Linked DNA regions of Drosophila melanogaster. The protein of the gene in region 1 purifies or fractionates together with the protein of each later gene. This does not show direct contact. Each region holds a gene or a part of one and is shown in the gene's direction. Other genes may lie near its edges. The genes, in order: fl(2)d and msk.

What was found.
Region 2: the proteins of fl(2)d (region 1) and msk purify together in Drosophila melanogaster (affinity purification with mass spectrometry, with the first as the bait; one study listed by BioGRID). This does not show direct contact.

What each region holds. Positions count from the first base shown.
Region 1 is NT_033778.4:13,819,017-13,826,253, reverse strand, and holds fl(2)d (female lethal d), read left to right. Parts: upstream 1-1,700; 5' UTR 1,701-2,125; coding exon 2,126-2,462; intron 2,463-4,078; exon of another isoform or gene 4,079-4,488; intron 4,489-4,696; coding exon 4,697-4,821; intron 4,822-4,884; coding exon 4,885-5,218; intron 5,219-5,284; coding exon 5,285-6,099; 3' UTR 6,100-6,630; downstream 6,631-7,237. Other genes in the region: CG13339 (uncharacterized protein), read right to left, coding at 823-1,043, 1,097-1,334. UniProt on the Drosophila melanogaster protein: Associated component of the WMM complex, a complex that mediates N6-methyladenosine (m6A) methylation of mRNAs, a modification that plays a role in the efficiency of mRNA splicing and is required for sex determination.
Region 2 is NT_037436.4:8,114,479-8,122,333, forward strand, and holds msk (moleskin), read left to right. Parts: upstream 1-1,700; 5' UTR 1,701-1,961; coding exon 1,962-2,051; intron 2,052-2,826; coding exon 2,827-3,062; intron 3,063-3,117; coding exon 3,118-3,615; intron 3,616-3,678; coding exon 3,679-3,855; intron 3,856-4,068; coding exon 4,069-4,214; intron 4,215-4,266; coding exon 4,267-5,064; intron 5,065-5,126; coding exon 5,127-5,350; intron 5,351-5,433; coding exon 5,434-5,744; intron 5,745-5,799; coding exon 5,800-6,272; intron 6,273-6,336; coding exon 6,337-6,533; 3' UTR 6,534-7,101; downstream 7,102-7,855. Other genes in the region: Arp3 (Actin-related protein 3), read right to left, coding at 1-315, 552-866, 930-1,110, 1,204-1,247; ldbr (lariat debranching enzyme), read left to right, coding at 7,441-7,637, 7,693-7,855.

The sequences.
Region 1 (7,237 bases):
TATTTTATATTCTGCGATAAGTTTTAAGTATTTTCAAACATCTAACTTCAATACTTCTTGCTTATATATTTTTTTTCAAATTTTTAAATTTACCGAATGATTGGATATCTACAGTATCCAAATAAATTTTTTATAATAATGTTATGTCATAAATTCAATTTATTTTTAGTCTGCTATAAGTTTAAAAAAGTATTTTAAAACTTCTAGGCTTACTACTTCTCTCTCAAAATTTAGAAATTACCGATTGAGGATTGGATTTTTATAGATACTAAAAAACATTTTCAAAACAATGTTATGTTATAAATTTCATAATATTTTTGCTTGGCTTCTACAAAATGAAAATTTTTTAAAAAGTACTGCTTAATTTTAAAGCATTGTAGCTAGAAATTTCAATTTCAAATGAGTATTATTGCTTTCAATATTGTTATCAGATTGTTTATAGCTAAAACAAATATATTTTTTTTGCAATGTCGGTTCATGTCATTATGTTAATAGGGTTGGAACTGAAGATATCAATCCGAAAAACTGCCGGCTTTGCTCTGCTATAAATCTGTACTGAAATATTATATAATGTTAACTACTTCTTCACATTATATAGATCAAATGTATGCACTTGTTTTGTAGCTTTTTTCCAGTTCTTAAACAAATTTAGAAACTATTTAGAATAATAGAACAATTTTTGGATTAACACTTATTTTATTTTATTTACATATTTGTACAACAGCCCTAATATTAGATATTTAATGTTGTTCATATAACAAATATCCCGAACATCAACAATATTTCCTTATGATCTAATGACCCTTATGATCAGTTAAGCTTTCAGCCCTTTATGCAATTGGTTATTTCGGTCCAGAAGGCCTGAACTTCAGGATCCTGCATTAAACTACGTTTCTTAGCGTTCAAAACTATGTTGAGGATGTCGGCATTTTTGCAGCAATCCCGTCTGGCGGATTTGCCATCCGGCGCCTCCGGGGAAAAGCCTTCCGTCTCCTGGTCATCCATTGGATCCACTTCACCCGCCGGACTGCCCAATTGTCCAACTGCAAAATAACAATGTATTTGGGGGAATCTATTGCTTAATCAACTTAAATACCTTTCTTGCACTTGGTCGCCTCTGTTTTCGGTTTTTCTGTCCGTTTTTGGTAGGGTTTTCTTGGTTTTGAGACATCTTTCGTCTTGCTGCGCTTGGCATTCGCATCGGTGGGCAGCAATTCGGGACTCTCGGCGGGATTATCCGCATCCTGCTGCAGGCGCCGCTTGACGTGCAGATTCAGGCGCTCCTTGATGTTTTGCTGTTCCAGTTTTATTTGCACACCAGTGGTTTCTGCCATGTTTTTGCGTTTTGAATATAAAAACAATATCCAAAACAGTCCACCAGTGTGACCCCTAAATAAATCTTACAAAAAAATAAACAGTAACGTAAGATACAACTTTCTCACTTGTATTTGATTGTTCCTAATTATTTCTAACTATGTAAATATCGTTAGTATTGGATGCAAAGCTATGGCGGTAGACGTAAGGAAGGAATTATCAGTGCAATTTAGAAGTTAAATAAATTTGTTATCTAATAATTATTTGGCAAAATTTGTGGCAGTGTGAACGGAACTGGGTTGAGTCTCCGCTACCCCATATCCGAGCCACGCACCCCAGGTCTGCATTTGTGTCGATGGCAAATCTGGTATTTTTCAGCGACGCCATGTTGGATTGCGAACAACAGTTAACAGCAGCAAACGAGAAATCAGCTCGCAGCGCAGAAAAATTAAAAAATATCGCCGTAAAAGTGAGCCCAACCGACCCAAAACATATGAAAAGTGTGAATTAAAGGACAATAAAGATATAAATCATTAATTAAGCTTTGAGCAAGCGCGAAAAGTACGCGAAATCAACGTTTTGCAAAACGTTCGCCATACGCGTCGCCATTGGTGTGAGCGATAGCTTGCCTGTGTGTGCGTGTGGTATTGGAGGAGGTGAGAGCGCCTGTGTGTGTGTGTGTTTGCGTGCGTGTGTGAGAGCGAGCGAGCGGCCCCTATGAAAAGCAACAGCAACAACGCCAGCAAAGGACCCGCAACAACAACAACAACAACAGCAAGAGTAACAAGCACAGCGTTTTAATATCCAAATAATGAGTGTCGCTGCAATGACTATGGACGATCAAAGACCCTGTATGAACAGTTACGACAAAATGCCCCCGACCAAATACGAGCAAAACCTAAATATCCTAAACAGCAGCCAAAACAGTGGGGCCACTGGCGGCCCCGCCTCCCCAACGCCCTCCGGCTTGGAGGACCACCATCATCATCACCATCCGCATCCGCACCATCATCACCATCAGGAGCAGCAGCAGCAGCAGCAGCAACAGCAACACTTGCAGCAGCAGCAACAACAGCAGCAGCAGCAACATGCAGCAGCTGTTGCAGAGGCTGTTGCAGCCGCCGAACAGCGACAGCGCTTGCTCGAAGGTATTTTGCACATTTTGGTACACTGCTATATGATCAGAGATCTATCTGATCTATATAATACCCCCTATATACTACATACATACTCGTTTCGAATACCGACAAAAAAAAAAAGAAAAGGAAAAAACCACGATCCAAAGTGTTGACTCTGTGTAAATTGTATAAATAATGCAATATATAAACAACAAGTAAACGTAGTCTTTTAGTTTATTTCTGCCCCCACTCCACTTGGGTTTCTTGTGTCATTTGAATTTGTTTATGAAAAACACTCGGTAAAGAACTCAACGTATATATTATGTGAATCGAATCGAAGCGAACACTCTTTGCAACGAACATTCTTTCAGCGGCGTTTTGGTTAACTTTATTTATTTATTTTTTTCAACACCACCTCGAGCAAACCGTCGAATGTAGTGAAAGTGCTTTCAAAAAGGACCATGCATATAATAATCTATAATACCTAAATATGAACTAAGTTAAAAGGCAACTGACGCCTAAAGTTATCAAGTGATTACAAAGTGTTGTGCAACAGAACTATCTAAAATATAAAATATGAGTTAAATAATCATAAATAATATATGAGAATCGTAACCAATTATAACCAGTAAGCTGAGCTAAGCTTTAATATTGAAAGCAATCGTACTTAAAATAAAAAATTATAAAATGAATCATAAGAAGATAAGGTTAACGAAGTAAAGTTTAAGATTTTATATAATCTTAATGAGAAAACCGGGCTGATAATAACATCAAATGAATAGAGCATATCAAGTAATAATAGTAGAGAATCCTAATCGGAGATTTTCCTCGTTTTCCGTCGTTTTTGCGGTGTACAGTTTTCGTTTTGCGACCACTTTTCGTTTGCCTACGTGCCCGTTGAAGAAGAAGAAGAAGCACAGCAGCAGAGAAGTGGAGAGGAGAAGAAGAGAGCCAACGTGTCTGCGTCCCCTGCCCCACCCCCTGGACCCATCTTATTCTCTCTCTTCGCGCCCCTCACGCTCTTTTCGTCGCGCCTAAATATAAATAATAATATTAAATAATCAATTGAAAATGTGACAGTGCATAACCAAAGAGAAAATAAAGTTGAAATTCTTTTTCTGTTGAAATTGTGTTAAAGAAGTGAACGTCAAATGAAAAAAACATTGCCTCGTGTGTTCAAACAAATACAAATGTTTAAATAAATGGCGCCAAAATACGGCGAACATGTGTGCGTTTGTGTGTGAGTGTGTATATTCACAATTGTTAAGCTTACTTAATTGATTTTTAAACGCTTAATTGGCCGCCAATCAATCAATTAACATGCAATGTGGGACACACGCACATGCACACATTTGTTTGCCCCGATCAAATAGTATATATAAATATAAAATAATTGCTTGGCTAAGTAAATACAAAAGCGAAGTTATATATGTACGTGTTTGCACAACAAATCCAACAAAAAATGCAAAGTCAATAAACTTTTTGTATGACAAAAGAGTGTTCGAAAATGCCGCAAAAAAGAGAAGGGGAAAAGCTTTTGAAATCCATGCATACATACATCCATGCATAGGCATACGAAAAAGCTTCCGAAAGCCCATTGTGTGTGCGTCGAGTTTTTTGCAAGTGTTTTTCAAAAATATTTTCAGTTTTGCCACAAAAAATATGTATACCAATCAGTCATCGTTGTTTTCCACAGTGTATGCAAGTTCGAAAATGCCGCGAAGATTCAAATTCAATCGCCAATCAAGTTCGATGCAAATGCAAATGCATAAGCAAAAGCAAGAAATCAAAATGCAAATAATGGCAGGTGTTCAAGTTATTCAAGTGCCAATGATAATGCCAGAGATAACGAAGCAATCGAAATCGAAATCCAAACCGCAAGCGAATTCGATACCGAAATCGATATCGTGTTGTCCAAGTTCAAGTGGTTCAAGTTGTGACACTCGCATCGAATCAAAATCTAAATCAATATCATTATCAGCCAGAGATTGACGACGGGATGCGGCCTTTTCCACCGACCATGTCACGAACTTACACGAATGATTGCAACGCATTGGTATGATTTCGTATTAAGTTCCACCTAAAAAAACAAACACTTTGCCTTGCCCATTAAGAACTTGTAAAATATCTATGTATATATAGTACGATATTGTTATATCTCGTGTGCGAACCAAAAAAAAAAAAAAAAGACAGTGGCTCTCTCAGCTTGGAACGCCCGTTATCTAGACCCCATTATTAGCTAATCCTTATCCTTCGATTCGCAGATGAGATCGAGAATCTCAAGCTGGAACAGGTCCGCATGGCTCAGCAATGCGCGGACGCCCAGCGACGCGAGAAGATCCTCATGCGACGGCTGGCCAACAAGGAGCAAGAATTCCAGGACTATGTGGTGGGTACTCGCCTTAATATACACAAATTTCTCAAATACTAATGCACCCGTAATCCCCATTAGAGCCAAATTGCCGAGTACAAGGCCCAACAGGCGCCAACTGCCCTCGCATTGCGCACTGCTCTGCTCGATCCTGCGGTCAATCTCCTGTTCGAGCGGCTCAAGAAGGAACTTAAGGCCACCAAGGCCAAGCTGGAGGAGACCCAGAACGAGCTGTCCGCATGGAAGTTCACGCCGGACTCTAATACCGGCAAACGCCTAATGGCCAAGTGCCGACTGCTCTATCAGGAGAACGAGGAGCTGGGCAAGATGACCTCCAACGGCAGACTGGCCAAGCTGGAGACCGAACTGGCCATGCAGAAGAGCTTCAGCGAAGAGGTCAAGAAATCGCAGTCGGGTAGGTTAAATCTGAACTAGGATTGGGATCGAAACTTATAGATATGTAAACTCCTTTACCATTTAGAGTTGGACGACTTCCTGCAGGAGCTGGACGAGGATGTGGAGGGCATGCAGAGCACCATTCTGTTTTTGCAGCAAGAACTAAAGACCACACGCGATCGCATACAAACGCTTGAGAAGGAGAACGCCCAGTTGAAACAGGCCATCAAGGATGAGGTTGTGGCTCCAGCGGCTGCCACCAACGGTGGCACCAACACGACGATAAATAAGCTAGAGACCATTCACGAGGACGCTTGCATGGCGAATAACCCAACGAATCCGGATTGTTACAATGGGAATACCAACAACGAACAGATCGCGGCCGTGCCACAGATACCACTGTCGGATGATGGCAGCAATATGAACGGAAATGCAGCGCGATTAGCCCGCAAACGAAACTACCAAGAGGAGGAAGCCCTTCCAACGGTAGTGGTGGTGCCGACTCCCACCCCAGTAGGAAATAACGTCCAGGAAGCGCCGCCCATCAGGGAAGTTACCGCCCCACGTACTCTGCCGCCCAAAAAGTCCAAGCTGCGAGGCATTACCACGCGTCGCAACTCCCAGCTGGAGGAGGATCATCAGCCAGTGACAACACCAGTGGCCGTCCCCATGATCGTGGACAACGCTGTGGCCGGAATGGCGAGCGAAGAGGCTGCTGCCGCCGCTGCGGCTGTTAATAACAGCAATACGGGAATAATCCCGGAAACGGGAGTGCAAGTGGGTGTCCCAGTTGAGGGCGGCGATCCAGGTGCTCCGGCGGCACCGGGCCGCATCCTGACCCGTCGTCGGTCCGTCCGCATGCAGCAGAACGGCAGCGGAGCAGTCGACTACTCCACCTAAGCGCTGGCGAACCTTTTTCCAAAAAAGGGTGCACTCCATATGAGTTCGTCAAATTGATCGTTAATTCCTGACGTTTACTTTTGTGAATTGAGATTTCAAAACAGAGAGAGACTTCATTTTATATTTCTAACCTATCTTTTAGATTCTTTAATTTTTTTTACACATTGTCTTGTAAAATACGTTTATTATTTCGTTTGCATGCGGCGTAGACATACATAATTCGCAAATTATTTAGAAGTCACTGCTTTACATACGAAATGCATTATGTAGAACAGTGTAAAACTTCAGCACATATATTTACAATAATACGATCGAGCTAAATGATAATGCTAAAAACTGATACACTATTTATGTTTTTTAACCACGGCATCTACTGAAAAGCTGAAAAGAAAGCTTGGTCAAAACAAAACTTGTCATTTAGCAAAATTAGGTTTTAATTATCAACTTAAGGCATTTTTGTAATACTATGAAAGTTGTGTAAAATAATATAAACTTGTGTTAAAATAAATTGTTAAGCATAACAAATATTTCAAAAAACCAGTGTCCTTTAATTTCAATTGCCGCCCAGCAAAACAATCGTTTTGATTTTCGAAATTATCTTGTGTTTATTATCAGTTTCTTCTTTTAGCACATTAGACAAATGGTTTTACTTGTATTTGATTGAATTCGAAATATGTTTATGTATGTAGTACAATTGTGGCTGCCAGCGAGTGTGTTTGTATCCTTTGTTTCGTTTGTGTCTGTGAGAAGAGTTTAAACTTGAGATCGGGCTAAAATGTTCTGGTAAAGAGGCCTGCAAGCTTGGCATAGTTTGATATTTGCTTTACCCTACTTTCAATCGAAATGTACAAAATGAGTAGGGATGTGGTGAGACAACCTGCAAGGGGGTTAAACGTACTTCCGATTCCATATTAAATAGTTAATAACAAATACTAGGCAGTTCGAATGGCACAAGTTGATTACACTACCATGGGGAAATGTGGGGTGTCTAAAGCTTAGCGAGTTCTGTTCCGATCGGAGGAGATATCCTTTCGGCTGAGAGTTTGTTTGTCTAGATGTACGATAGTTTGTTATGGTAAATTTCAACTAGTCAATGGTTTAAGTGTAGTATTATTAATAATTTAGTCGCTAGATGCTG
Region 2 (7,855 bases), on another chromosome or scaffold:
GGGATGGAAGAAGATCTCGGGTCCCAGGAATCGCTCGTAGCCCACGTCCACATTGAACGGCGCCTTGGTTACCGTGTTAACGCCGCTAAAGTTGCGTATCCACTTGCCCGGCTCCGTGTCGTACTTGGCAAATTCTTTGGCGATATCGGGACAGATGTAGCAGTGCTTCTCCTTGATCGCTTTAGCAGTCTCGAGGCTCTGTTCCGGCGGAATGCCCACCTCCCGTTCGCGTAGCAGGCTCTGGATGAACGAGGTGATATTGCGGCCCGCGATGGGAATGTGCTTGATGCAGGAGCCGATCACATAGCCCTCGGCCTAGAAATGAAAAACAGCTTAATATATTTATATGGTTATAACTAATACGCTATTTTATCTTAATAATTCCCTCTTAATATAACATTCTGTAGTATTAATAATAGCCTCAGAATGTGCTATTTATTTATTAAATAAATCCGTCGACTGTTTCGGTTTTGGGTTCTCTTTTCAAACAGTTTTTACCGAATCCAGTGCCAACCCAACTCTGCTGATAAGATAAGATCTGTGCTACTTACCACGGGTATGACGTGCGTCACTCCATCGCCGCTGTCCACCACGATGCCTGTAAGGGTACGCTCCTCTGCGGACCGGGAGGCCCAACTGGCGGCTAGGGCAAGCACCGCCTGGACGGCGATATACAGACCAGGAACGTTGAACGTCTCAAACATTATCTCCGCGGTGTACTCCCGATTTTCGGGCGTATTTAGCGGCGGCTCAGTCAGCAGGAAGTAGTGATCCTCAGGCTCGGCGCGCAGATACTTAAAGACGCACTGCTCCAGAAAGCGCTCCATCAAGTCCCAGTCCTCCACCAGACCATGACGCACCGGATACTATTGGAATGCAATGATAAATGTGATGTCGGTTGCTTAATGACCATAGATACAAGAGCATACCTTGATGGAGTAGCCGGTGGCATCGAAGGCCTCATCGCCGATGAAGAAGTCCAGGTCCTCGATGCCCTTTGTGATGCGCCGTGTGTTGGTGTCTCCCACTCGTGCCGACTCCTTGATGGCAATCGCCGAGGGAATAATGAACTGCGGCTCTTTATTCCCGGCAAATCCCAGTTTGGAGTAGCTGATGGATGTGCAGACAAGCAGAGTGTTAGTCAGTCGACCTCCTTTCCGTCCAATTGGAGACCCCCACGGGCAATCGAAACTAAAAACTCACCCGGTGCCCACATCGATTACGCATGCCGGTAGCCTGCCTGCCATGGTCGCTGCTCGTCCTTTTGCCTTGCTGCCAGTTAAAGCTCTTCAGTTGCGATCTTCGCTCGCCTTTAACACAAATTTCCCTTCGTTTCAGTTGCAGATAAACCCAGATTTCTATATATTTTCAACCACACCTCCAACTATGTGTCACTTTGCTCTTCGTCACACACACATTCGCGTGTTCACGTACGAGCAGCTGCCAGGGCTGCAACAATCGATTGGCCATGCAACTTGAATGGCAATTTATCGGGAATTGTGAAAAGTCGCTGTTTTTTAAGCCTTTAAATATAGTTACCTTATGAAGCAAGTGGTCTATATATAAATGGTGCCTAGATTTTCCGCAGCGAAGGCTTTTCAATATTGCTCGAATTTTTGGCTAAACTGTTACCGGCGAACATAATGCAGCCCTGTAGGGCCCCATACACTGCGGCGTTAGTCAACACACACAGGCGCTGTTTCTTCTTCTTCTAAGCTTCGTTCGTCTCGCGAATTTCGGCGGTGTGTGTGTGCGTGTGTGGAGTCTTTTCCACGTTTTTTCCTCCGGAAAAAGAGATTTGCAATTTGGCCCACACATTGGAGCCACTGGTTCGGCTAGCATAAACCAAGGTCTATATAAAGGCAAGAACAGCGGGTGCACAGTGGGCACAAGGTGACCGCCAAACGACGAAGTGCAGCAGAAAGACCGGCGAAACATAGAATCAAGCAAAAGTAGCAAAAATGGAGGCACAAAAACTCACGGAACTGTTGCGCGCAACTATTGATCCGAATCCGGAACAGCGCAAGGCGGCCGAGGATCAACTGGCCCAGGTGAGTTTGCTCCCAAAAATAAACGCCTGCACTTGAATTCGAAAGGTCTTTGGAGGTGGCGCCATCGCCTGAAAACCATGTGCTTTTTTAATTGTTCGCTTTTAACCTCCCTCGCTCCCGCACTTCATCACTCTGGTCGTTGTACAAGTGTGTGGGTGTGGATAGTGTAATCCGATATCGGTCAAAAAGTTTGCCCTTTATGTGTTTACCATTATCCCGACTTCTATGTTGTTGCCCCAGAGGCAACAAGTCGATATCTTTGGGGCACCTACATATGTATGTATGCTATATATATTTCTATATGTGTACATATTTATTGCGAGTTTCGTGTGATTCTTCGGAAATCCACTGAATTGTTAATAAATATTTAATTGAGACTTTCGAAATATCGCCGGAATGCCCTTTGATTGAAGCTTACGCAATTCCCTTGGAAATAAATGTGGGCAATCAGAGCGGCCAGTCTAATTAGACCCCACCCCACTAACCAATTGCTTTGGCCCCACTGTAGAGGCATGCTCATTACGACTGAGTCAGCATCTAACGATTTGCATGCCCCTCCCAATCGCCTCCCACCAACCCCCCTGTTGTCAATTAACTTTATCAGCGCTTATGGCCAGCAGTTGTTCTTGGCTCCTCCATATTAATTGAGCTCTGTGAACGGAATTTAAAGTGCTTCTGCCATTGATTCTTTGACCAATTCAAATTTAACCCAACCCCAAACAGCTGTGTAAACATATCCATTCTATTTTATTTCTATACATTAAAATCCCCACAGATACACAAAATCATCGGATTTGTGCCCACCATACTGCAGATCGTTATGCAGACGACGGTGGAACAGCCGGTGCGCCAGGCCGGTGCTGTCTACCTCAAGAATCTGATCAACAGCAGCTGGTCGGACCACGAGGCCAAGCCTGGAGAGCCAATACCCTTCTCTATACACGAACAGGATCGGGCTATGATCCGTGGCGCTATTGTAGATGCTATTGTGCACGCCCCCGAGTTGATTAGGTGGGTAAATCCATTGAAAATCCTTTCCAGGGGGCTAATTTCGTTCTGTACACAGGGTCCAGTTGTCTGTCTGCGTCAATCACATCATTAAAAGCGATTTCCCTGGACGCTGGCCACAGGTGGTGGATAGCATCAGCATATATCTGCAAAACCAGGATGTCAACGGCTGGAACGGAGCTCTGGTAACCATGTACCAGCTGGTCAAGACCTACGAGTACAAGCGGCATGAGGAGAGGACGCCGCTAAACGAGGCAATGAACCTACTGTTGCCCATGATCTACCAGCTGATGGTCCGACTGCTGGCAGAGCAGTCCGAGCAATCTGTGCTGCTACAAAAGCAAATTCTCAAGATCTACTATGCCCTCACGCAATACACCCTTCCACTGGACCTCATTACCAAGGAGATCTTCTCGCAGTGGATGGAGATCTGTCGTCAGGTGGCTGATCGCGCAGTGCCCGATAGCTCGCACCTGGACGATGATGAGCGAACGGAGTTCCCCTACTGGAAGACTAAGAAGTGGGCCCTGCACATCATGGTTCGCATGTTCGAGCGGTACGTTGACGGCAGTATCTATAGTCATAGTCTAGATAACTAACGTTGTATGTATAAATTTAGTTATGGCAGTCCCAGCAATGTGGTTAGTGAAAAATACCAAAAATTCGCAGAGTGGTATCTGCCCACGTTTAGCCAGGGCGTGCTGGAGGTGCTCCTCAAGATCCTCGACCAGTACCGAAACAGAGTCTACGTCTCACCACGCGTCCTCACTGATGTGCTCAACTATCTGAAGAATGCGTAAGTAATTTAGTATTCTATAAATTCTCATGTGACATTTGATATATAGTTGGAATGTAAAATCGATGTTACTTAATTAGGAGATACCTAATCTTTGATAGAAAGTCTGAAAATTTTTAAAGCTGATAAGATGTAGTGTTTATAATTGCAGTTACAAAAGTCGATTCCAATCAGTTGACTCGTTTTTTTAAATGTTATTTATTCCGTTTGCAGGGTTAGCCACGCCTACACCTGGAAGCTGATTAAGCCTCACATGGTGGCTGTCATCCAGGACGTGATCTTTCCCATCATGTCGTTTACTGACTCCGATCAGGAGCTCTGGGAAAGCGATCCCTACGAGTACATTCGCCTTAAGTTCGGTAAGAGAACTTTTTAAATGACTTGAACTACATTACTAACCGATTCCAATAGATATCTTTGAGGATTATGCCACACCTGTACCGGCAGCCCAATCTCTGCTGCATTCTATGTGCAAAAAGCGCAAGGGCATTTTGCCCAAGGCAATGGCCACAATTATGCAGATAATTACATCGCCGAATGCGGACAACAAACAGAAAGATGGTGCCTTGCACATGATTGGAACGCTGGCGGACGTACTGCTGAAGAAGGCTTCGTACCGCGACCAAGTGGAGTCCATGCTGACCACCTACGTCTTCCCAGAATTCCAAAATCCCGCGGGCCACATGAGAGCGCGCGCGTGCTGGGTGCTGCACTATTTCTGTGACGTTCAAATCAAGAATCCCCAAGTGCTGGCCGAGATAATGCGTCTGACCACAAACGCCTTGCTTACCGACAAGGAGCTGCCCGTCAAAGTGGAGGCAGCTATCGGTCTGCAGATGTTCATATCGTCCCAGGACGAGGCGCCGCAATACGTGGAGGCACAGATCAAGGAGATCACCAAGGAGCTGCTTACCATCATTCGAGAGACGGAGAACGAAGATCTAACAAACGTTATGCAAAAGATCGTGTGCACCTTCACCGAGCAATTGCTGCCCGTGGCCACCGAGATCTGCCAGCACCTGGCCACCACCTTCAGCCAGGTCCTAGAATCTGAGGAGGGATCCGACGAGAAGGCCATCACGGCCATGAGTCTGCTTAACACTATCGAAACTCTGCTCAGTGTGATGGAAGAGCATCCTGATGTCCTGCTTAACTTGCACCCGATCGTCATTAATGTTGTCGGACACATTTTCCAGCACAACATAACTGGTTAGTTGGCTGTGCCCTCAATCGTTGATATCGTTTATAAAAATATCTGGTCATCTCTTCAGACTTCTATGAGGAAACCTTCTCCCTGGTCTACGACCTGACAGCCAAGGCCATTTCCCCCGAAATGTGGCAGATGCTGGAGCTCATCTATCAGGTGTTCAAGAAGGACGGTATTGACTACTTTATCGACATTATGCCTGCTCTGCATAACTATGTGACGGTCGACACGCCCGCTTTCCTCTCCAATCCCAACAGGCTGTTGGCGATTCTCGACATGTGCAAAACGGTAAGCTTCTATTCTTAATAATTAAATATGTCTGAACCTCGAATAACTATAATAATAATTATAATAATTATAATTTATTTTAGATGCTTACTAGTAGCCCTGGCGAGGATCCCGAGTGCCATGCCGCCAAACTGATGGAAGTGATTATCTTGCAGTGCAAGGGTCAAATCGACTCAGTGATACATATGTTCGTGGAGCTGGCTCTGTCCCGGTTAACACGTGAAGTTCAATCCTCAGAGCTGCGCACTATGTGCCTGCAAGTGGTAATCGCGGCACTCTACTATAATCCCCAGTTGCTGCTGTCCATTCTGGACAAAATGTCCCAGCAAAACAACGACTCTATCAGCGCGCACTTTATCAAGCAGTGGCTTCACGACACGGACTGTTTCCTAGGGTAAGAATGGACATGCTTTTTAATGATCTAGATAGTTTATTGTTACGTTTTCCAGCATCCACGATCGCAAACTTTGCGTCCTGGGTCTGTGCACCCTCATCTCGCTGGGCGAAGCCAAGCCCCAGGTTCTGAGCGAAGTGGCTGGAAAGATTGTGCCCGCACTTATTTTGCTTTTCGATGGTCTAAAACGCGCCTACGAGTCTCGTGCTCAGGAGGAAGAGGAAGATGAGGAGGAGGAGGACGGTGACGACTGTGAGGAGGCTCTGTCCAGTGACGAGGATGACATGGACGAAATGGCACCGGACTATCTGGATAAATTGGCCGAATTTGCCAAAACCAAGGGCAATGAGTCGGGCTTCGAAGTGAAAGCCGAAATCAAGGACGACGATGCTGACTCGGACGGTGACGCCGAGGAGTCTGTGGGTGATCTGAACGAGACTGGACTGGAGTCGTTTACCACGCCCATCGACGATGAGGAGAACGAAAGCGCCATCGATGAGTACTGGACGTTTAAGGAAGTTATTACTGGTAAGTTGTGCTGAATTTTGTACACCATTGGAAAACTAACTAATAACCTAATCTTCGCCATCAGCACTTTCTGCACAAGACCAAGCCTGGTATGCGCTGTTGACCTCCAACCTCACACCTGAGCAAGCCAAGGCGCTGCAAGAGGTGGTGGTGACGGCTGACCAACGCAAAGCCGCCAAGGAATCGAAGCTGATCGAGAAGCAAGGTGGCTTCGCCTTTCCGCAGACTGCCGTGCCCACGTCGTTTAAGTTCGGCTCCTAAGAAACTGAATTGACCAGATCACCAGACACTTGGTTCGATTTCTGACTTGATTGTTTCTCATATTCTTTCCAAAAATAACAAAAACATCAAACAAAATACATCTGGCATGCTGATGATGGCTTTGAAGGCATTCTCTTGGTTTTCGTACACTCCGTGTACCCATGTATGCTGCGACAATCGGTCGATTAATCAGATTAAAAAATCGATCGGTCGAGCGGCGACGAGACCGCACTATATTTATTGTAGATTTATATTTTATTTCCTATTTTGTGGCCAGGGCGGCCAACTAAATTATGATAACTTAAGTCCATTGTAAATCTTTGTATGTAAACGAAACGAAACGAAACGAAAAACAAACACGTCAGGACGAGAAGGTCTCATTAAATGAGATTGTGCCCACCAGCACGCCCCCGTAGAACTCCAAAAAAAAGTTGGCATCTAGGTCAGAGAATGAGAATTCAACGCAGAGCATTTCACATACATTTTCTTTATACACACATACACGTATATTCTGTACTAAATGAAGCGATATTTTTGAAAAATAAAAAAAAAAAATTTTTAACGTTTGAACTGGAGAAATCTTTTTCTTATTTGTGTACCTTTTTGTGAGGTATTTAAACCGTTCAGGGAACGAATTTTATAAGTACATCTAATATATATAATTATATTTAATAATGCTAAGTGCTGAAAGACTTTGTTTCCGGAAGATTTCAGCAGTTTAAATATTGGCGGTCATTAAGTAGAGTTATCGATAAGAGCGTCCATCCTGTCGTTCCCCAAAGACGTTTTCTCACACTGAATTGCCGATCGATAAGCGATATCAGAACGCGTTATTTGTTTGGACAACCGGTTGCATTTGTTTACAACCAAGTTTTATTTATAAAGTAGTAACTTACCTTTATTAACCATGAAAATAGCTGTCGAAGGATGTGCACATGGCGAGCTGGAACGAATATACGACACCATAGAGGGCATCGAAAAGGTTGGCGGCACCAAGATCGACTTGTTATTGTGCTGTGGCGATTTTCAGTCCACCCGGAATCTGGAGGATTTGCAGACGATGGCTGTACCAAAGAAGTACCTGGATATGTGCTCCTTTTACAAGTGAGTAGAGTTTCGACAGCTTGTGGATCAGGAGGTAATCCATTTATTTTTAAAGATACTACAGTGGCGAGCTGGTAGCACCAGTGCTGACCATATTCATTGGCGGCAACCATGAGGCCTCCAATTACCTGCAGGAGCTCCCATACGGCGGTTGGGTGGCTCCAAATATTTACTACCTTGGTTATGCCGGCGTCGTCAATGTAAACGGTGTTCGGATA